Linked DNA regions of Tamandua tetradactyla. The protein of the gene in region 2 purifies or fractionates together with the protein of the main gene of each other region. This does not show direct contact. Links are inferred from orthologs where the notes say so. Each region holds a gene or a part of one and is shown on either strand. Other genes may lie near its edges.

Evidence for each region.
Region 1: the proteins of FOXO1 (region 2) and ATG7 purify together in Homo sapiens (affinity purification with western blotting; 4 studies listed by BioGRID). This does not show direct contact. The link is inferred for Tamandua tetradactyla from reciprocal best matches to the Homo sapiens genes FOXO1 and ATG7.
Region 3: the proteins of FOXO1 (region 2) and SIRT2 purify together in Homo sapiens (affinity purification with western blotting; 3 studies listed by BioGRID). This does not show direct contact. The link is inferred for Tamandua tetradactyla from reciprocal best matches to the Homo sapiens genes FOXO1 and SIRT2.

What each region holds. Positions count from the first base shown.
Region 1 is NC_135335.1:37,669,198-37,676,532, forward strand, and holds the start of ATG7 (ubiquitin-like modifier-activating enzyme ATG7), read right to left. Parts: upstream 3,081-7,335; 5' UTR 2,989-3,080; intron 2,979-2,988; exon of another isoform or gene 2,485-2,978; intron 2,086-2,484; exon of another isoform or gene 1,594-2,085; intron 1-1,593. UniProt on the Homo sapiens protein: E1-like activating enzyme involved in the 2 ubiquitin-like systems required for cytoplasm to vacuole transport (Cvt) and autophagy.
Region 2 is NC_135330.1:99,398,033-99,405,631, forward strand, and holds the start of FOXO1 (forkhead box protein O1), read left to right. Parts: upstream 1-4,529; 5' UTR 4,530-4,672; coding exon 4,673-5,248; intron 5,249-7,599. UniProt on the Homo sapiens protein: Transcription factor that is the main target of insulin signaling and regulates metabolic homeostasis in response to oxidative stress.
Region 3 is NC_135342.1:25,106,058-25,113,804, forward strand, and holds the start of SIRT2 (NAD-dependent protein deacetylase sirtuin-2), read left to right. Parts: upstream 1-4,887; 5' UTR 4,888-5,118; coding exon of another isoform or gene 5,119-5,122; coding exon 5,123-5,356; intron 5,357-6,116; coding exon of another isoform or gene 6,117-6,163; intron 6,164-6,416; exon of another isoform or gene 6,417-6,572; intron 6,573-7,747. Other genes in the region: NFKBIB (NF-kappa-B inhibitor beta), read right to left, coding at 4,709-4,887. UniProt on the Homo sapiens protein: NAD-dependent protein deacetylase, which deacetylates internal lysines on histone and alpha-tubulin as well as many other proteins such as key transcription factors.

The DNA.
Region 1 (7,335 bases), on a different chromosome or scaffold from region 2:
TTCTTTTGGGAATATTCCTGCTTCTTCAGCCTGGTTTAGGTGTCCTTCCTCCCTCCTCCCGTAAGTTACCACACTGTAGTGTAATTGTTTTACCCCCAAATTGCTTTACTGTAATTCCTTGCTTGTCTTACCCTCAACTTATTAGTTTCTTAAAGACAAGGACCATAGCTTTTTTGTCATTGAATCCTGAAATAACTCTCAAATTCACCCACCCATCTCCATCCCTACAGCCACTGTCTTCTCAGGCCTGTCTTCTGTCATCTGGATTGCCATGACAGTGCTCTAATTGGTCACTCTGCCCTTCTTGCTCCATTAAAGGTCATCACCACATTTGGGTACTTTAAAAGACATCTTTGTTCAAAATTCTTCAGTGCCTCACTCCACATACCCCTAGTCTCATAGCTTTAAAAATTAAGACCGAAGTTCTTAGCATGTCATTCTAACTGTTTACCAAGTGTTTACTATCTACCAGTACCAAGCGGGCAACATGTATCATTTCATTCAATTCTTACAGCAACCCTGCAAAGTAGGTGTTTTAGTTTGCTAAAGCTGCCAAAATGCAAAATACACAAGAAACTGGTTGGCTTTTAAAAAGGGGATTTATTAAGTTACAAGTTTACAGTTCCAAGGCCATAAAAATGTCCAAACTAAGGCATCCATAAAAAGATACCTGACTGAAAAAAAGGCCAATGGCATTTGGGGTTTCTCTGTCATGTGGGAAGGCACATGGCAACATCTGCTGGCTTTCTTCCCTGGTTTCTAATTTCAAATGACTTCCCTGGGGGTCTTTTTATTTCTGTATCTCCAAACAGCTCTGTCTGCAAGCTCTGAGCTTTTTCCTAAATTGTTTCCTCTTAAAGGACTCCAGTAAGTGGATTAAGACCCACCTTGAATGGGTGGAGACGCATCTCCATGGAAACCACCTAATCAAAAGGTCCCACCCACAACTGGGTGGGTTATATCTCCATGGAAACAATCTAATCACAAGGTCCCATGCTAAAAATAGGCCTGTGCCCACAAGATTGGATTAAGAAAAGGAACATGGCTGGAGTAAATAACAGTTTCAAACCAGCACAGCAGGTAGTACATCTCCCCTTTTTATAGAGGAGGAAACTGATGCTTAAATAGAAAGTGATTTTCCCAAGGTGAGAAAACTAGTTTAGTGGTGATGGCCCTACGTGTAACCCAGGTATGTTAAATTCCAAAGCCTGTGCCCTTGACCATTATATGCTATTGCTCACAAGTCCCTTGTAATCTGGCTCCCATTTACCTTTTCACAGTTACCTCTTATTCCAGAACTCTACTTGCAAGTCAGGTACTCTCACCTACAGCCCTTTGCTCATGCCACTGCCAATATTTACAATATCATCCCACCTCTTTTCAACTGGCTAATTGCTACTCATTTTTTAGGACTTGGATAAATCATATCCTCACAGAAGCCTTCTCTGATGTCTCAGACTGACTTACAAGCACTTCTCAATTTTCCTCTAGCAAAGCTCCACAATAGCTTCATACTGTATTGCTATAATATATCTCTTTGAGTTGGAAAAAAAAAAAAAGTAAACTCCCTGAGGACAGGGATGTATATCTTACTCATTTTTGTACTTTCAGACTGTGGTATAGTGTCAGGTACACAGCAGAAGCTCAACATGTATTTTTGCTTATTTTCTATCAGGAGAAACCGGCTGAAAACAGAAAAGGGATCTTGAGGTTGACAAATAAAGAGCCCAGTACTCAGCTCCCCAAAACGGTTTCGAAATCATGTATATGAGTGGCAGGGAGGACTTGACCAAGAAAAGCAGAGGGGAAGGCAGCAAGAGCAGCAGGCTGTAGGTGAGATGACCTGCAAGAACAAAGTTGGGGGGGAAACAATCAGGCAATGTGAGCCTGCACAAATCTAGCCTTTTCACGAGCTCAAATATAAATCTACTCAGGGAAACCTTCTTGATAACTCTCAAATGTCTGTTTTATGTATTCATAAGCAACTATTTGTTGAGCCTCTATAATATGCTAGGCACTATTCTAAATGCTGGAGATAGAGCAATAACTAAACCCAGATTTCTGTCCTTGCAGAGCTTACTCTGGTAAATAAATAAAATGTACTTAGCCTAGAGGAGAAAAGGTGGGAAGAGGAAGACAGAAGTGCAGGGCAATTAAGTGGAAGGGGCAGTTAACTGAAAGGGCAAAGAGACTGAAGGAGGGATGAGATGATTACCAAGTAATAGCATACAGTTCAATATATGACTTTTAATGAGAGCTGGGGGAAGAAGAAACAGGAGAACCAAAAGTAGTGAGTTTTCTGTCACTGAAGAAAATTAATCCGTGGGCAGGGATGTCACATAAGAAATCTAAGTATACTATGGGATAAGGAAGGTAGGACTCAGAAGTCCCAACGTGTCACAAAAATGCCTGGTTTCAGTAACAGTGTTAAAGTTCGATTACACTTCTGTCAGTGGAATTTTCTTACGCCTGCATTTACCTTACCTGATTCCGGTTAAACATCAGAGTTTGCAAACCCTGCACCAAACCAGAAAAAATGCGCCTAGAGTTCTCTTAATTTAACTTCCTCATTGCACAAATGATGTATTGTATTCCCACTTGACAGATCAGAGTATCTCAGAAACGGGCGGGACGCGCCAGAGCCACACAACAAATCCAGGCAAAGACAACGAAAACCCAGGTGTCCTCCTAGCTATTGTTCCCAAATCAGAAATTCTGAGCACTCCCTGCAGAGGACAGGAGGAGTGCCTTAGACAATCAGCAGGAATTTCCAAATCAGAAGTCTCGAGGCTGTAAGAGCATGAGGGGACGTAGCTGGAAAAAGAGGGAAGACAGTCGGAGTGACTTCCCGGAGGCCCCCTCAGTTCGGGAGAGGAGTAGCCTGAGACGCGCTCCCGCCCCCACGGTCGAGCTCCCCTCTTCTCTACCGGCCTCCGGCACGACCCCGAAGGACCCCCACCACTCCATCGGCAGCAACCGCTCACTTACCGCCACTCAACTTCCGGCAACCGCAGCGTCGCCGCAGCGCGCGTCCCGATGACGCAATATAGTCCCGCCTCTGTCTTACCAGGAGGAGTAGTGCGCATGCACACAAACAGGCGCCGGCGAGCCTGGAGGAAATGCGACCTTACCGTCCAGCTGAGTGGAAGGGGCTTGGGTTCTGGAGAATATAGGGCGGGGGGAGTGGGCGAGGACCCTGGGGAGGGACGATCAGGACCCCTCCCTTTTCAGATGTGGAAATATGTATATGGTCTGTCATGCTTTTTAAAAAGTGCTCCACGTCCTCTTTTTATTTAAGAGAATAAGAATCATCATTGCCATTTTTCAAGAGAGGGAACTTCCGACATAACACGCGGATCATTAGGAAGGCAGGTGTGGAGAGATAGCAGAGGAAAATTTTAATAAGCAAAGGCCAGTGAAAACTGACAGTGACCAACCTCCTCCTTCTCAACACTCATGCTTTTCGTAGCTTACGATGTCAATGGGATTAAGTTATTCATTCTAAATTTATTTAGCACATTGTACAGTGCCAAGCATTGGACAAGTGTTGAAAATACAATAGTGAATATGATAAATTTCTTAATCTGGCATGTAATGCTGGCTCACAATGTAACCCTCATGCAGCTCTATAGACTTATAAGAGTAATGACGACTCTTTTTTTTATTATTATTGTTTTTCTTTTTGGATTACCTCTGTTTCACATTTCTAATCTTCACAGAGGTCTGGCCCCGGATGATGTCATATTATTCCCATATTACATGTGAGAGAACAGAGCCTGGGAAAAGTGGTTTGCTGAAGGTCAAAGAGTTAAAAAAAAAAAAAAAAAGGGAGAGGATTCTAACGGAAGCCTGTTTGTCTCTGGTGAAATGAAAAAATAAATCCAGATTTAGTAAGGAGAGACTTTATTCCAAGGATTGTTGCACGTGTTGGGAATGCTGCAATAGGAAGAGGGGCAGTACTGCAATAAGGAAAATGCTGTGAGCATGAGATCTGTAGGCATCTCAAGGGTTTTTTCTTTTATAGGGAGAAGTAAACAAGGCTATAAAGAATCTGGTGTGGCTAAGTAGGAAGAAAGGGTGGCTTGACCCAATACTAGATCAGAAGACGTTTTACCATGAGGCCAGCATATTCTCAGGAGAGGTTGTATGCTGGTTCAGGCTGAGGGTAAGTCAAACAAAGCTTGAGAACTGGGAAGGAAAAGAAGCTTATCCAAAGTTCGATTAACAGGCCTTTTGTTCCCATTGATCAGTAGGGACAGGAAGTTTGGCTAATCATTTATAAGACAAAGAATGGGAACTTGGAGGGTCTGTGTCTGGCCCTGTCATAGATAAACAAGGGAGGCATCTATGAATTTTATCTAAGTCATATGGAGAAGAGTGTTTCTTTGCAGAAAGCCATTTCCCAAACACAAAAGGGTGCCAGTGGGGAGGTTCTTAACCATTGCTGTTTTCCAGGAGGATTTTACAAGTAAAATTTAACATTTTCAACTCTTTCCACTGTGTCAGTCTCCTCTCCTGCCACTGACCCTCAGACTGCATGCTTGAGTCACTAAACTAATTCTGGTTTCCTGAACACACTCTGCTCCTTTTTATCTCCATGCTGTATTTGCCCTTACACTTCCTGTGTTTGTAGAACCCTTTCTGAATCTTCAAAACCCAGTTGAAATGTAGAAGAATATCACAGACAAGTCATATGAGAATATATGAGATTCTAAAATCAGCAAAACTCATCTATAGTGATACTGATCAAATCGAGTCATTGCCAGGGCAGTAGGGGTAGGGATTGTCTGCAAAAGGGCATGAGGAACTTTCTGAGGTAACAGAAATGTTTTATGTATCTTGATTGGGGTGGGAGTGAAATGGGTGTACATATTTGTCTAAACTTGTTGAATTCTACATTTTAAATGGTGCGTTTCATTGTCTGTTTTTGACTTTTTTTTTTTTTTTTTTTTCTTTGCATGGGCAGGCAACGGGACTCAAACCCAGGTCTCCAGCATGGCAGGTGAGAATTCTGCCACTGAGCCACCATTGTACCGCCCATCTTAGCTTTTTTTAAAACCCGGTTGGATGTCACGTCCTCTGTGAAGGCATGCCTGACACCCATCAAAGTAGGCTCCAAGAGTACTTAACTCTATTAAGCCTGTATGAGCCTTGGTTGAAGTTAGTTCTTTATAAGCTAGTCTTCCCTGCTGGATGTAGAGATTCTTATGATAATCATCTTTTGGAGTTTCTGCCCAGCTCGTAATGATTCCTCCTTCTCATGTGCTCCCCCTCCACACACACACACAGTTGATTAGAGCAGAGGTGGAGATGACAGTTCTTTACTCTGAGTTTTGGACTTTTAAACTAATGCTCATAGAGAATAGCAATAGTTCCTTTGGGTCAATGGCATCGTTACAGAGGGAATGTTCTCAAATTCTTACTTTTGAGGTTTCTGTGGTTGACTTGGCTCAAGCCCTGCCCAAGGCTAGGTCATTCAGAGCTTCATTCGAGTCCATAAATGTGATGGCTTAGAAGCTGTGTGTACCTCAGAAAAGATCATGTTCTTTTAATCCATTGTTGTGGGTATAGACCTATTGTAGGTGGGACCTTTAGATTATGTTATTTCAATTGAGATGTGATACTACCTCATTCAAGGTGGGTCTTGATCCTCTTACTGGAATCCTTTATAAAAAGATAAAAGACACAGAGACGACACAGAAAAAAAGACTCAAAAAAGCTAAGAGGAAAGAGTCAGAGAATCTTAAGAGGATGCACAGGAAAACAGAGAGAAATTACAGAAATGGAGAGGAAATCACTGAAGCCAGAAGCTGGAAGCAGTGAAAACCTGGAGAGAAGGGAGAGACCAGCAGACATCACCATGCGCCTTCCCATGTGAGAACCCAGGTTGCCAGCAGCCTTTTCTTCAGGAAGAAGTTATCTTCCTGATGGTACCCTGATTAGGGCATTTTCACAGTCTCAGAAGTGTACATTTATACATTAATAAATCCCCATTGTAAAAGCCAACCCATTTCTGGTATATTGCATTTCATCAGCTTTAGCAAACTAAAACAATAAAATGCACAAGTAAGCATTCATAAAGTTGGCTTCTGTTATTTGCAACCCTGAAGTAGCTCCATAGGGTTAGAACCATTTCTGTCTTATTCTCCTGTGTTTCTTAATGCCCAGATCGAGGCCTGGGCTAAGAAGTGCCTAAAAAGTATTTTTTAAAAGTAACAGATGGTGTCTGGGCATGAAAAATAGATGTGGGGACCAGAGTTGATGATAGCTGAGGTCACAAATTTGTCTTCCTTGTTAACAAGGAGTTAAGGTGGGGCTCAGAGCATAAGCTTCCCAGGACAGGTGGCTTTTGGTAAGCAGACCGCTGGCGCACTAAGACCAGGGAGCATCAAGGAAGCTGCAGGACCAGGAACCACAGAAAGGCAGAGAATGTCCTCAGACACAGCATGGCAAGGAGGTCTCGTGACACTTATTCAAGATTACTGCAATTCAGGCCAATCTACCTTCACCACTTGTCTTGCCGCTCAGTTACGGGGAGCACACACTCCCCAGAGTGAGAATCCTACGCCAAGCCAACCTACGTTTTGAGAACTGCGAGATTGTAGAATGACAAATGTCAACAAAGTAGATTTTAACAGCATTGTATCTTTATAGCACTTAGAGTGCCTAGCAGCCAGAACAGCTCCAGCATCTTTTTCACCCTTTGTTAAGACTATCAATAATCAACCTCTGGGAAGTCCACGCATTCCCATTTCCGAGAAGGAAACCAGTGATTATCTGAAAGCCAAATACCCAAATGACCAATTCCTCAAATTTGCAGACTGGTAAATTTTTCTGAATGCCAAAATTACCTGTGTTTAAGGTTCACAGTTGTCTCTATTGGATGAAGTGGCTTTGTAGGTTTTTCAAGATTTATGCAGTGTTGTAGATGACTGTTTTTCATGTTGTCTTCAGAGAAGTCCTTTAAAGAATTTTTATTTATCAGAAGCTGTGCCGGTGTGAATCTGTTGTGTACTCCAGAAAAGCCAAACTCTTTTTAATCCTCATTCAATATTGCTGGGTGGGACCTTTTTGATTGTTTCCAAGGAGATGTGATCCACCCAATTGTAGGTGGTAACCTTTGATTAGATGGTCTCCATGGAGATGCATCTCTACCCATTCAAGGTGGGGTTGCTTACTGGACCCTTTTAAGAGGGAACCATTTTGGAAAAGGCTTTAGAGCCACTAGAACCGACAGAGCCAACAGAACGGACAGAGCCCTGGGGAAGCCGTTGAGGAGCCTGGAGAGAAAGTTAGCAGGCATCGCCATGTGCTTTCCAGCTGAGAGAGAAACCC
Region 2 (7,599 bases):
CATGCAGCAGAACCAAAAACGGATAACTGGTTTGTAACTTTCCCCCCTGTTAGGAGTAGTAGGCAGGCAGAGTCTATCTGTGATGGACAAACAATCTGATGCAGTCTCTGTAGAGTCCACTGAAAAAAATTATGTTAACATATATACAACATAGACATAAATTCCCTCTGTTGTGCCACCAACACCACCATCCCTTACCAAGCTTTTTGATCACCTCAAACAGAAACTCTGTAGCCATTAAGCAGTAATTCCCCAATCTCCACCCACCCCACCCCTCCTGTAGCCTGTTCTCTTATAGCCCACTTTTGTCCATTTGGAATAAGATCATTCCAACCGTGAAGCTCTTTTGCCAGGGCTTGATGTCCCCAAGCCTGTGGATGGTACGTTAATTTGACTTTTCCACCTTATCTCATTTCTCTCTGAAATGGTGACTATGATAATGTTTTGATCCTTTCTGCCTTAGCATTCATTCCTAATATCCATCAAACGTTTTTGTGTGTCATTCCTTCAAATAAATAATCAACATGCATTATTGATCATTAAAGAGCTCTGTATTCTTAACACCGACATCAAGGAAAACAAACCATTGTGAACCCGAGGAATTTACCACCTGAACAGCTGGCACACAGTAGTGCCCTGTAAATCTTGGTGGAATTGATGACAAAATCCAAAATCCCTCAAGAAAATGAATGCCTACTGCTGACAGTCCTGTAGCTGCCAGTAAGCCAGCTTTCAGGGTGTTGGCTTCAGGCCCCCGGGCTGTGTTTGTTCAGGTTATTGCTTTCTATAGGCCAACTGAGGCTTCTTTAGGTTCGTAACAGTATCCTCTAATAATTCAGAAAAATATAGTGGAAATGGACAAGTTCGGGAAAGGAAATGTGGAAGCTAAGTGCCATGACTGAAAAATAAGCATTCAAGCTTTTCACTTACTCATTAAATTGGACCTAAATTACTTATTTGGACAAATAAGAATCTAAACCAGAGATTGGGATGCAGTGAATGCAGAAGTTTCCATCTGGGAATTGATCAAAATGACAGATCCCTCAGCCTTGCTGCAGAGATGATGCAACAAGTCACCCTGAAAATCAGGCCCAGCAAAGGACATCACGTTTGATGCTCAAGTGAACTTTGGGAGAGTAAATTTCTGTTTCATTTTAATTGCCCTTGCATGACACCAAGTATTTCTTCCCAATTTGGCCACATGCACTAATACGTGATCATCATTGAGAAGAGCCTTCAAAGCCAACAGCAACCACAAAAAATACGGACAGAGAAAACTCTTTTGTCCTTAAACAGAATTAATGCAACTTAAATACTTCAGTCTCTTGTAGAGAGAGATAATGTTTACATTTTTCACTTAAAAAACAAAAACACCTCTTTTGTAACTTTTTTCTTTCATTATCTTACTATCATGTTTTTGTGTCTGCTTTCTTGATCTTTAAATCAAACCTGTATTCAGTTCAGTGGAGTTCATGTAGCCAAAATTACTAAGATTCTGTGGTTTAACTGGAAGGAAATATACCACAAAGTGACAATGGTTATCTCTGAATTGGAATTATAGGATATTTATACCTTTCTTCTTTATACTTTTGTGGAGTTTTCTGAATCAGCTATAATCAGCATGTGGAGTTTTCTGAATCAGCTATAATCAGCATGTGTTACTGCTATTAAGCAAAAAAAAAAAAAAAAGAAAGAAAGAAAAATAGGAATTACTTAAAAATTCCCTCACCTTGTACAGAAGTACAGGAATCTGGTGTATAGAGACGGGAAAGCAGGAAGTGGGGCTTTAGCCTCAGCACCACCGCTCTTTCATTGTGATCTATATCAATAATTCAAATAATTTAGCCTCTCTGTGCCTCGGTTTCCCTATCTATAAATGAAGGGGGACCACCAAGATGACCTCTAAGATTACTTTCAACCTTAACATTATGAGTCCATCAGAAAATAAAATTTAACTTGATACAATCCTGATGCAGGGTTACGGCATTCCTCCCAAATTTATCGGCCAGTCCTGCAATCTCACTTTGGAAGATCCGTCCTCAGCTCTCTGTGCAGAGATTCAAATTACGGTTGGACAAGAGGCTTATGGCCTGTGTGACAGCTAATGATTGGAAACAAGTTCACCAAGAAGGGCCTCAGAATATCAAAACATACCACAATAGGAGGCAGCTATAAAAAAGAATGAAACCTTTTAAGATATATTTTTATTTTTTTTGGAACTATGTTTCTGGAACATAGGTTCTTGAAGGTTCTCTGCGCCTGCTTCAAGTCAAGTTTTTCAAAAAGACCAAATGTCCTAGGACATTTAAAGAAAAAAATATTATTAGGAAAGACCGCCAAGCAGATTTCAAGGATCTGGGGAAAGTGCAGAGTCCCTCCTTCCAGGCAGGCCACAATGGCCACTGGCTTCCTCTGCAGAGAAGGATCCCCCAGGGCAGCTCTCCAGCAGGGGGGCTGAGCAGGGCTGCCCGAAGCAGGACAGGCTGCAGCTCCAGCCTGCCTGGGTTTGACCCCACTGTCTGGGTTACGAGGCCCCTAGTGACTGGTCAAACTCAATAGTGAGTATAAGAGCACAGAAGAGGAGGCCCCCACCCCATCCCCATTCCCATTCCAGCCAGCTGACCTCCGCCCACAGTCAAGATGTCCTAGTAAGTGGATCAAGAAGAAATAAAAGGGTTTGGACTACAGGGATGATAGGTGAGAATATAAAGGAAGGAATAGCGTCACTTATGCCTCTCCAAATCCTTTCAATTTCTGTAAATGCAGTGTGATTTTACAGGTCACTTTTTCAATTTAGGAATTGTCTATAAGAAAGAGGGGATTTAAAAAAACATAGCATTTTGGACAAGATATTTTTAACTCTGCTATCTTCCATTCTAAGTGAGCCCATCCCTCTAAAGGAAATGTCTTCCATATTCTTCCTAAAAAAGAAAAAGCAAAGCAAACAAACAAACAACTTGAAGAGAAAACTGTTTCTCCTACTCTCTGAGACACAGGGGCCTTTGTCTTCCTACCTGGACGTGCTGGCCCTGGAACTCAGCTGGGGAAACGTGGGCTGCGGGTTGCGGCGGCCTAAGCCAAGCCGGGTCTGGGCAGGACCGCGCCCTGCGGCGTTGGCCCGCTCTCTCCTTGTGCTCTGCTCCTGTGCACCTCAGCACCTCATTTCCATACAGAAAAGAACGTTCAAATAGCTGAATTTAATTGGGAGCCAGGAGTAAAGTAATAAGCTTCTTGCTAAATGCTCTCCTCTGACCTCTTCGCCCACCCAGAGAGAGGTTCCCACGGAGAGTAATAGGTCTAGGTGCATTTGGATCTGTTTGTGCGTGAAATTGAGCTCTCTCTGCGCGCCGAGCCCCCTTTCTCCTTTGCAGTTCTTCAGGTCAAGTTGGAGTGATCCGGGTTCGACCGAGTTGCAGTCTTTCCTCCGACACCAACGGGTGGGTTCTTGGGGCGGAGGGGGTGGGCTCTGCTCTGAGCGCGGATTAGTAGGCTCTGCCCGAGGCTCTTGGGGCGGACAGGTGGGCTCTACTCGGGGCTCTGGGCGGGGACAGGTGGGCTCTCCTTGAGGCTCTGGGGGCGGACAGGAGGGCTCTGCTCAGGGACAGGTGGGCTCTGCTCGGGGCTCTGGGCCGGGACGGATGGGCTCTGTTCGGGGCTCTGGGGGCGGACAGGTGGGCTCTACTCGGGGCTCTGGGAGGAGACAGGTGGGCTCTCCTTGAGACTCTGGGGGCAGGCAGGTGGGCTCTGCTCGGGGACAGGTGGGCTCTACTCGGTGTTCTGGGCGGCGACAGGTGGGCTCTGCTCGGGGCTCTGGGCGGGGACAGGTGGGCTCTGGTCAGGGCTCTGGGCGGGGACAGGTGGGCTCTCCTTGAGACTCTGGGGGCAGGCAGGTGGGCTCTGGGCGGGGACAGATGGGCTCTGCTCGGGGCTCTGGGCGGGGACAGGTGGGCTCTGCTCGGGGCCCTGGGCGGGGACAGGTGGGCTCTGCTCGGGGCTCTGGGCGCAGACCGTGCAGTCCCTGCGGGCCGAACGACTTGACAGATGAGCTGCGGTGGAGCTGGAGGGCCCGGCAGTGTGGCCGCCGCCGCCCCCGCCCCCGCGCCCCCCGCCAGGCTTCTCAAGTCGCAGCCGGCAGAGCGACGCCGCCGCCACGCTGGTTTGCCTCCCAGGAATCGGAAGACCGAGACGGATAGAGACGCACGGCAAGTCTCGAGAATTACCCACAAAATCGTAACAGCTCTCAAAAGCCAGAAGCCCAGAAGGGAGCGGGGGGCCGAGAAAAACACCCCGCGCCCCCGCCCGGGGGAGGTGGCCCGCCCGGGCCCCGCCCCGGCCCCGCCCCGGCCCTCGCCCAATGGCTGCCCGGGAGGCGGCGCCATGCGCCCATTGGCCGCGCGTGCTGTCAGTCGGGCCGGGCGCGCGCGCGCAGCGGGGCGGGGGCGCGGGCCCGACGCCGGGCCGCCGAGTCGCCGCATTCAACAGGCGGCAGCGGCGCGGCGGGAGCGCGGCGGAGCGGCAAGCGCCCACCTTCCTGCGCGGGCCGGGCCGCGGGCAGTGCACCGGCGCCTCGGCGGCCCCGGAGCCGCGGGCCAGGGTCTGCGTTAGGCTTCGGCCCGGCTCCTGCTCGCCGCCCCTCCTCGCTCGACCGCGGCCCGGGAGGGCGGGGGTCACCATGGCCGAAGCGCCGCCGGCGGTGGAGACCGACCCGGACTTCGAGCCGGTGCCCCGGCCGCGCTCGTGCACTTGGCCGCTGCCGCGGCCGGAGTTCGGCCAGTGCAGCTCGGCCACCTCGAGCCCCGCGCCGTCGGGCGCCGCCAACCCCGACGCCGCGTCCGGCCTGCCCGGGGCCGCGGCCAGCGCCGACTTCATGCGCGGCCTGAGCCTGTTGGAGGAGCGCGGGGACTTCCCGCGGGCGCCCGGCTCGGCGGCGGGCCCCGGGGGGCTGTGCGGGGACTTCCAGGGCGCGGAGGCGAGCTGCCTGCGCCCGGCGCCGCCGCCCCCGCCCGGGCCACTGCCGCCCCCGCCCGGGCCCCCAGCCGCTGCCGGGCCGCTCGCGGGGCAGCCGCGCAAAAGCAGCTCCTCCCGCCGCAACGCGTGGGGCAACCTGTCCTACGCCGACCTCATCACCAAGGCCATCGAGAGCTCGGCGGAAAAACGGCTCACGCTGTCTCAGATTTACGAGTGGATGGTCAAGAGCGTGCCCTACTTCAAGGACAAGGGCGACAGCAACAGCTCCGCGGGGTGGAAGGTGAGCGGCCCGGGCGCGCGGCTGAACCAGCCTGGGAGGAGCCGGCACGGGGGCAGGTCGGGCTGGGGGTGGGCGGCGGGCTTGGCCGGGCCGGGGGCGGCTCGCGGGGCCAGGGTAGGTGCGCGCGCGGGAGTTGGGGACGAGAGAGCAGGGGCTGGCCCGGGGGCAGGGGAGTGGAAAAAGTGCGCCGGGAAGCGGACGCGGGGAAGTGGTCCACTTCGCGGCGCGCCCAGGGCCCGCTCGGACTCCAGCCGCTGGCCTTTCCCTCCCGGCGTTCGGGGTGAGGGCGGCCTCCCCAGCCGCGGTTCGGGGCAGTCCCGCGGAGCAGTTTCCGCCGCGCCGGGCGGGGGTCCGGGCCAGGCGGGGTCGGTGTGGGGCCAGCGCGCGGTTTCCGGAGGCCGTGGGCATTCTGCTTTGTTTTGATTTCTCGGAGGGGCCTCTCCAAGCCCCAGGTAGCGCCTCCGCCACGTGCCGAGGGGCGGCCGCCGCCGGGGAGCGCGGCCGCGCGGGGCTAGCCGAAGTTCAAGTGTGACCCTCGGCGGGGGCGGGCGCTGGCGGCGCGAGGGCCCGGGCGCAGGAAACGAGCGGCTTTAAAGGGCCAGCGCGTCCGGCCGCGCGCGGCTAGGTGCCCGGGCAGGCGGGGCGCGGGGCCGGCCCTTCCCACCAGGGCATCGTTCCCGAAAGGGCCTGGCCCACGTCCGAGGGTTGTAATTAAGCACGGAGGGCCCCGCCGGGCGGCCAGGGTGCCCGGGGCCGGGGCCGCACTCCCTCGCCCCGGCAGGCCGCCGCTGTGGCAGCGAGCGCGGAGTCAGGATCCAGGGGCAGGGCCTGAGGGGCTTTGCGACCCGCGTCCGGGGTGGTGGAGGCTTGCGCCGCGGGAGTGCCCCCGGGGCCCTCTGGGCAGTTCCGAGCCGGGGGCTCCGGGGCGGATTTCCTGCGGGCCCGTGTGGATGGAGGCTGACGGTTTGTCGGCGTCCCAGGTGGAGGGCTTGATGTAAATAAGGCCGTCGGGCTGGGCCAGACCCCTCCTCCCTGGTGTCGGCCTCACTGGCCCGAGGACGCGCGTCTGCGGTGCGCTGCTCGCACCCAAGTTGTTTCAAAGACGCCGCCGTCCCTGTCGCTCCCGTGCGCCAGGGTCAGGGTCAGGCTGCTCGCAACGCACTGGGAAGGAGCCAGGACTTATTTTATTTTTTCCCAAGGTGTGGTTTAGAGTAAAGGTATCGCTAGTCCCAAACCCCATTGCTAAGCATTGCATGCCCTTTTACCAAGTGTTCCGATGGTAAATGCCTCCTTACCGTCGGCTCCTGTTCTGATAAATCACAAAATCGGGATCCTCTGTAAAAAAAAATCCAGCCTAACGTTTGAATTTAAGTACTTGAATTACTTGCTCACCTATTGATCCTACTTGAGCTGTTATAAAAATTTGCCAATTAAAAAACCTTTTTTCCCTGGTATTCACAGTACAGTGTGTGCTTCACCACCCACCTTGGAGGTGGATACAACCTCCTTTAGCTTGCTTGCTAGAGGGCCTTTCTTTAAAGATAGAGAAAGGCAGTGTTTTGCCTCTCTAGAGGTATTAGTTCTGGATAAATTTGGAATGTAACGTTTAAGATTTAGGTTTTTTTTTTAATCCTAAATCCGACATTTGAGGGCCATCCTGACCTCCCAACAGTTTTTATTTGTTCTTTACTGATCTTCTCATGTTGTTTTCAAATGCAATTCTAATTTTATCTTACCTTTTTTTTACTGGAGCTGGGAGCCACGTTGTGGAGCAAAGAATTCTCTCTCCAGCATGTGAAGCCCAGTGGCAGAGCCCAGAGGGAGGCTGGGGGCTTTGGGAGGTGGTGGCTGATCATTTTCAAATGAGTCAAGTTTTCAGGTGTAGCCAGAGTTGGTGCAAGTCAGATTTCTGCAAGTGATTTTCAGTTTGAGTAAAAGGGCATTTTTAAAAGAAAAAAATAACCTAAATTGTTCTAACTCTTAACTAGTCCACTGGGTTGGGTTTTCATATAAATGAGTTACTTGTTAAAACCAGGTTTCACTCTCAGATCTGAGCAACTCTGAGACTCATAAAAGGGAGAAATTTCTGTAAGAATTTTAGCTTTAAAGAAAAGAAAATCCAGTTCTAAAATGCAAGTCAACCAAAACTTTACTCTTTCAGTACTGAAGAGTGGCTCCTTTGGAACTAAATATTTCCTGTGCTTTACTGCTGGGAATTGACTGAATCTTTAATTAAGTCCCCTCTCTTGTGATCTGCTTTCTGGGCCCTGCCTGAGACGAAGATCGTTTGCATAGGACAGAGTTGTTGGAAAGGTGTTGAAGAGCTCGAGAACTTCTCTTTTCTGTGGAGT
Region 3 (7,747 bases), on a different chromosome or scaffold from region 2:
AGAAGAGGCATGGAAGATAAAAGTAAAAGCTCACACTGAATGTGTAGAGATGAAAACTACAGCATCTGAAGTTAAAATACATTGGATAAGATTGACAATGGATTAGACTTTACAGGAAAAAGAAGACAAACAACAGAAATGATCTAGAATGAAATACAGAGAAAAATAATCCAAAAAAATAAAAAGAGGATCAATGAGCTAAGGGACAATTTCAAGTGGCTAGTTGTAACTGAAGTCCCTACAGTAGGAAGAGACAGAAAAAAAAATCTGAAGAAATAATGGCCAAAAAATAGTTCAAATTTCATGAAAACCAAGAATCCACAGATCCAAGATGTTCAGTGGACTCCAAGCACAAGAAACATGAAGAAAACTACATCAAGGTGTGTTAAAATCACATTTTTTTAAACCAGTGATAAAGACAAAATCTCAAAGGCAGCCAGAAGAAAAAAATGGCATCTTAAGTACAGAAGAAGATATGGAGGACAGAAGTTTACGTAGGAAATAATGCAAGAGAGAAGACAGTGCAGCAATCTCTTTAAACTACTGAAAGAAAAAGACTGTTAACCTGGAATTCTTTATCCAGTGAAACTCTTTCAAAATCAAGGGCAAGGATGCACGGTGGTTCAGTGACAGAATTCTCGCCCAACATATGGGAGACCCAGGTTTGATTCCCAGTTCATGCACCACCCCTCCCCCCCAAAAAAAATTGTGAAGAAAATTCCCTATGATATATGTAGGGAGACTGGAGACACATTAAAAAAAATCAAGGGCAAAATAAAGACTTCTCAGACACACAAAAAATGGGGAGAAAAAAATCCCCAGCAGACCCATAATACAAGAAATGGTTAAAGGAAAATGATATCAAATGGAAATATGGATCTACACAAAGGAAAGACAAGAGCACTCAAAACAGGAACTACCTGGGTAAGTGTATAAGTTTCACGAAAACTGTTCTCATACCCAACTGCAAATACTGCAGTAGCTCAATCAATTCAACTCTGACTCTGCCCAGAGTCAGGCCAGGCTCCACAGGGTCAGTGCCACCCTCCGGATGGCCCTTCAGGAACCAGTTGCAGGTTCCAGGGCCCAGGCCACCCACACTCCTGACCAACTGGCTACAAATCTGGAGGTTCCCACCATGACTTCAGGTTTCATAATTCACTAGAATGACCCACCTAATTTACTAAAAAGTGCTATATTCACAACTGTAGATTTATAATTGTAAAAGGATACAAATAAGAAGAAGCCAAAAGAAGAGGTGTACAGAGGGAGGTCTGGGAGGGTCTCAAATGAAGGCTTCCGTGTCCTCTCCATACAGAGGCAGAACACATAGCCCTGCCGGCACAGTGAGGTCTTAAAATCTCGGAAGCTCTTCATGGCTTTGAGTGTTTTGAATTCATATGGGGTCTCATTATATAGAGATGATTGATAGAATCAATGTCCATGTGGTTGAACTCAACCTGCAGCCCTCCTCGGTTCCCAGAGGGCAGGGAAGTAGGCTGATATGGGCTGATACGATGTGGCTCAAAGCCCTGATCCCCCACTCACATGGCTGGCTTTCTGGTGTCAGTCCCTCTACCTGAGACTGCAGGTGTGGCTGGCCCCACCCTGGCATCTCATTAGCACATGGACTATCTATCAGGTATGGTCCTGGGCCCATCATCAATAGTAAAAGGTGTTCCTATCACAGGAAATTCCAAACAGTCACAGGGTACCTCCTCAGGAATTTGAGACAAACGCCAGCCAAGTTTTTATTACGCTACAATAAGAATATAAGACATTCTGTTTGTATGCATAAGTACGTGTGCATAAATAAAATGTATGACAACAAACATATAATTGTCAGGAGAGAGAAAATGGAAATATACTCCTGAAAGTTGCCTTTACTATGCATGAAATGGCATAATATCACTCAAAGGTAAATCATAAATTAGGTTTGAATACTATAAACCCTAAGGCTGGGTCGGCAAACTTTTTTTTCCCTTTTTTGACATGGGCAGGCACAGGGAATCAAACCTGGGTCTCCGGCATGGCAGGCGAGAACTCTGCCTGCTAAGCCACCGTGGCCTGCCCAGCAAACTTTCTGTAACGGTCCAGATAGCAAATATTTGAGGCTCTCTGAACCACATGGTCTCTATCCTGACTATTCAACTCTGCTGTTGTGACACAAAGGCAGCTATAAATAAAATGTAAATCAGTGAGCATGGCTATGTTCCAATAAAACTTTATTGATAGACACTGAAATTTGAATTTCATATCATTTTCACTCGTCACAAAATATCTGAATATTTTTTAGCCATTTAAAAATGTGAAAAACAGGCAGGCCATGCTGGTGCAGTGGCAGAGTTCTTGCCTGCCATGCTGAAACCCAGGTCCGATTCCCGGTGCTTGCCCATGCCAAAAAAACAAAACAGAAAACAACAACAAAAAATGTAAAAACCATTCTTAGCTTACAGCCATACAGGAGGCTGGCTGGATTTTGCTTACGGGTCATAGTATGGCATCCCCTGCCTTAAAGCAACCACTAAAATAACAACAACAACAACAAAAAGTTATAGCTAAAAAGCCAACAAAGGAAATAAAGTTGAGTTACAAAATACTCAGGTATTCCAGAAGAAAGCAGAAAAAAGAGGGAACAGGAAACATAGAACCGGTGGGACGAAACAGAAAGATGATCAATTTGAACATAACCATATCAACAGTTTACATTAAATTTAAAGTGTTTAAACACCTTAATTAAAAGGCAGAATTGTCAGATTGAATAAAAAAGCAAAACCCAACTATATGTTGCCTACAAGAAATGCCCTTTAAATATAAAGACACAAATAAGTTAAAAATAAAATGATGAAAAAGATATTCCATGCTACACTAGTCAAAAGAAAGTTGAAATAAATATTTAATATCAAAGTAGATTTCAAAGCAGAGACTATTACAAGGCTAAAGAAGGTAATTTTATAATGGTAAAGGGGTCAATTAGACAAGAAGACTTAACAATCTAAATCTTTGTTCCCCTAATAACAGAACTTCAAAATACACAAAGCAAAAACTGAGAAAACTAAAAGAAGAAATAGACAAAGGCCCAATTATACTTGGGGATTCAATATTCCTCTCTCTATAACTGGTAGACTGAGTGGACAGAAAACTAGCAAGGATTAGTCGACTTCAACAACCCTATAAACCAATTTGGCCTAACTGACATTTAGAGAACACTTCACCCAGTAACAACACAATGTACACATTCTTCTCAAGTGCATACACAACAATTACCAAGCTAGACCATATTCTGGGCCATTCTGAGTCTCAACAAATTTTAAAGGATTTAATTCATGCTAAATATATTCTCTGCCTACATGGAATTAAAAAAACTCAAGAGAAAGATAGCTGGAAAATCTCCCAAATGTTTGGAAACGAAATGACATACTTTTAAATAATCCATGGGTGAAAGAGGATATCAAGAGAAACTAGAAAGAATATTGAATAAAAATGAGAAAGATAGCTGGAAAATCTCCCAAATGTTTGGAAACGAAATGGCATACTTTTAAATAATCCATGGGTGAAAGAGGATATCAAGAGAAACTAGAAAGAATATTGAATAAAAATGAGAACACAACATATCAGAATTTGTGAGATCTTGCTAAAGCAATACATAGGAGGAAATATATAGTGTTATATGCCCATAATAGCAAAGAAGAAAAGTCTCAAATCAATGGCCTCAGCTTATATTTTAAGAAACTAGAAAAAGAGCTGATTAAATCCAAAGTAAGCCAATAGAATAATAATAATGAGAACAGAAATCAACAAAAGAGCATTAAAACAATAGAGAAAATTAATGAAACCAAGAGCTGATTCTTTGATAAGATCAATATTTATGAAGTGCCCACCAAGTATCAGGCATTGTTTGGGTCACTGGGGAAGCAATAAATGTAACAGACAAAAATCCCTAGGTACACTCCCTTGTGGTTCCTTCTGCTGGAATGCTCTTCTTCCCTGCTATTTGTTTCATTTCTCTCTCTCTCTCTCTCTCTCTTTCTTTTTCTCTCTCTGCCTCTTACTTCCTGTCTTTCTTTCTCTCCTTTCTGTCTTTCCTTCTGTCCATTTGTCTACCCCTACTAGAATGTATGTTCCACAAGGTCATATATCTGTCTATTGTCTTCATTGTTTTAACTCCAGCGCCTAAAACAAACAGTTCAATGAATAATTGTTGAAGGGATGAATCCGTGTTCTCAGGGACCCTATATTCTCTCTTTAAATGTAAGATTTGAAATTAGTGCTCAGAAGGCAGGATCTTAGAAACAGAGGCCAAATATTACTTTCAGAAATCAAAGTATAAGGCTCATAAGTCACCAGCTAAGGATCAAAGATCATCTTGGAGGTTGGAGATCAGGAGGAGCTGGAGTCAGAGTTCTAACAAACGTCTCAGGACTGGAGTCAAAACGTTCAAATCCGGTTTTCAGATCAATGGGAAGGGATGTGGATTCCAGGAGCTGAGAATCAGATTCAAGAAAGGAGAGTCAGAAATGTGTTAGAATCAAAGTTGAGTAAGAGATTGATGTTATCAAAGGTTAGGACTTGGGGGTTAGAGGTCAGGAAGTCAAGGCTTAGAGGTCAGATTTAGTGGTAAGAGGTTAGGGAGCCGGGATCAGACACCATAGGAGAATCAGGTTAAACTGATCTTTGGGCTAGACTTGGGAGTCTAAGATTCACTCACGTGTCCCCATCTTCAGTGACGTAGCCGAAGACGAGGGGAGCCCACGACAGCCCCGGGCCCAACTCCGGACCCAACCCTGGTCCTCCGGGGGCTGCTGCGTCCGGGCCCAGTGAGCCCAGACCACTGTCACACCACTCATCCGCGTCTGCAGCTTTCCCCAGGCACGCGACCCCGGCCATAGCCCCGCAGCCTCCGGAGTCCCCCGCGGCACCCAGCCAGGCTACTGCTGGGCTCTGCCTGGATCCTAACCCTTCCGCCCTGCGGGGAATTCCCCAACACTCCCCCTACTTTGCCCAATCAGAGTGGGTCAAAGCTCTCTCTCCCCGCCCCATTCCGCTCCAAGACCAATCAGAACGTCCTATTGTACTACAGCTTTCGACCCATTCCCACATTTTCCGGGCGCCCTTTACCAACATGGCTGCCGACGCCAGGCCCTCTGGAACTTGTAGTCCGGCCCTCTCATCTCCCTTATCCGAAGAGAAACGCTCGCGGCGTTGTGCTAATCACTCGTATGCGGTGGTCGTGGCTTCTGGGAGTTGTAGTCCTTTGCCTCCTCACTGCCCCTCCCGTTTCCGGTGCCGTCACGGGGCAGAGAGGTCGGTGACAGCCCCGAGGGCCCCGGTCCCGCGCCCATGGCCGAGCCGGACCGTGAGTCAGGGGCCCGGGTGGGAGGATCGGGCCGCGTCGGGGCCTGACAGCAGGCTGCAGGCCCCGGGGCCCGAGAGCAGGCGCGGTGGGGCAGGAGATCGGGCAGCGTGGGGGCAGTGGGATTTGAGGGGCCGTTGCTAAGTGATCCGTGGTGTTTGATTAATGAGTGTCTGGGTCGCGAGAGTTTTAAGGGCCCATTTGCCTAGTGCCCCAAATTGCTAATAATCGCATGTTTCTCGCACTTCGGTTGCTAAAGACCCTCGTTACTAAGGACGTGGGTTGCCGCCGTCCTGGTTGCTAAGGGTACCTGGTTGTAGGATGCCAGGGGATCCCCTGGTGTCCCCTTCTATCTCTTGCCTCAAGTACCTGTGCCTCTCCTTAACTTGCCACCAACCACCCATCCCTATCCCGGCACCTCCTCTTCCAAACCCGGCTCCCAGCAGGGTATCCCTTCCTATCTCCTCTCCTCCTTTCTAAACTTCCCTCTGCCCCTACACACACTATTATGCTTTCCTAACTACTCCTGAGACTTCCTCCAAACCCTTTATCCCTTCCTTTCTCCTCTCTCTCCTCCAAACCCTTCCCCTCTCCAGCTTCTCCTTAAGATCTGCTTTTCCCTTCCCTACCTCTATTCGGTTTTTACCACTCCCCTCACTAGTATAATTAGGTCTTCCTAGCCCCCACTCCCACTTTGAACCCTTTCATTCCACCTTAACCATTCCCTCCACTGTAACCACGTCTGCTCCCCCTCCTCCCCCAGCCTCTGACCCTCTGGAGACCCAGACAGGGAAGGTGCAGGAGGCTCAGGTGAGATGGGGGGAAAGGGTGGACTGGAGGGAAGGAGAGAGATGGATTTGTTCCCACTATCCCACACTAGGCTCTCAGCTCACTGCCCCAATCCCTCGTCCCACCCCAAGGTGCAGCGTCCTGGGGGATGGTAGATTGTGGGGCCTGCCAAAGAAGGGTATACTGCCTCAGTCCCAGGCCTGCCCTTCCAAGCTTACCTCTTTTCTGTCCCCTCCCCACCAATCCTTCTGAACCTCATTCGTGCTGGGCCCAGAAGAGACAAGCATGGGATTTGGTCCCTGATAGAAACCAACCCTCCAGGGTGACTGTGGAGGTAGCTCAGGGTGCTGTGGGGGCCAGAATATACTTTGTGGGGTCACAGAAGAAACCACCCAGGCCCCTCCTTGGAGAAATCCACAGACGGATCTAGGTAAGACTGAGTTATCGACACAATATAATAAGTGAGGAGTGACTTGGAATTTTCCTGGACAAGATGAGAAATGGTGTTCCAGGCAGAGGGAAAGCCTGGAGGCAGAAAAGTATTGGGTAGCTTGATGGCTGGGAATGGTAAAAAAAAAAAAAAAATTTTTTTTATTGGGTACTTACTCTGTCGCAGATATTCTGCTTAGTGTTTTGGGTACATCGTCTTATTTAATCTTCCCAACATCCCTGTGGGGGGAAGGCCTGTCATTGCCATTTTGAGGGAGAGTTGTTAAAGCGACTTGTCCCCTATCCCTTGGCTAGAGGAATAGGGACGCCAAACCTAAGACACCCGGCCCCCTGCCTCATAGGTGCTAAGCAGGAGGTGGTCAGGGCAGCCTTCCAGAAGCTTATGGGCGTCAGCCAGCACCTCCACCTCCTCTGCAGGCAGGGCTGCCCCACGAGCTGGACAGGGCCTGCCATCCTCCCACAGAGCCTCATTGTCTACAGCCTGAAGGAGCCCAGCCTGCTACCAATGCTTTTCAGATGTAGGTCGGTGCAGAGGCCGTGTCACAGTTCCTCACGAAGGCCCAACAGAGGGATAGTGAGGGTAGAAGAGCTTCCTGTCAAGCCAGGGTTTCTCCATCGCCTAGCTCCAGAGTGTGGCTACTGTCACTTGTGGCTCAGAGAAAAAGGTTTACTATTAAGAAGGGACCCTCAGTGCCAGAGAGAGAGACACAAGGATGTAAATTGCAGTGTTGTCTAGAATAGGGCAAAACTGGACATGGCCCAAAGGGCTGTCAGTGGATGGGTTAAGTGAAGGCTGGCACACCCACACAATGCAATCCTATATGGCTGCTTAACCCAACGAGGTGGGTCTGCAGGAGTTAATTCTGTGAAAAACTGCAGAGTGCAGCAGCCTGCCTGGGTGGGACCCATTTCTGTGAAGATAATTAGGTTTTTGTTTTTTTGTTTTGTTTTTAACCACCAATACATTCATTTGAGGGGGAAAGGGGTCAAGTCTTATGAATTTTTTTAACGGGGTAAGACTAGAGACACTGATCGGCAGAACTTCTGGATATTCACAACTGCCCAGGTAACCAGTCCTGCACAAGTAGGGTCGTCATTGAACAGGTGGGCATTAGTTGAGGGGGACATGTTCTGAGCAATTAGGAGATTTCTCAT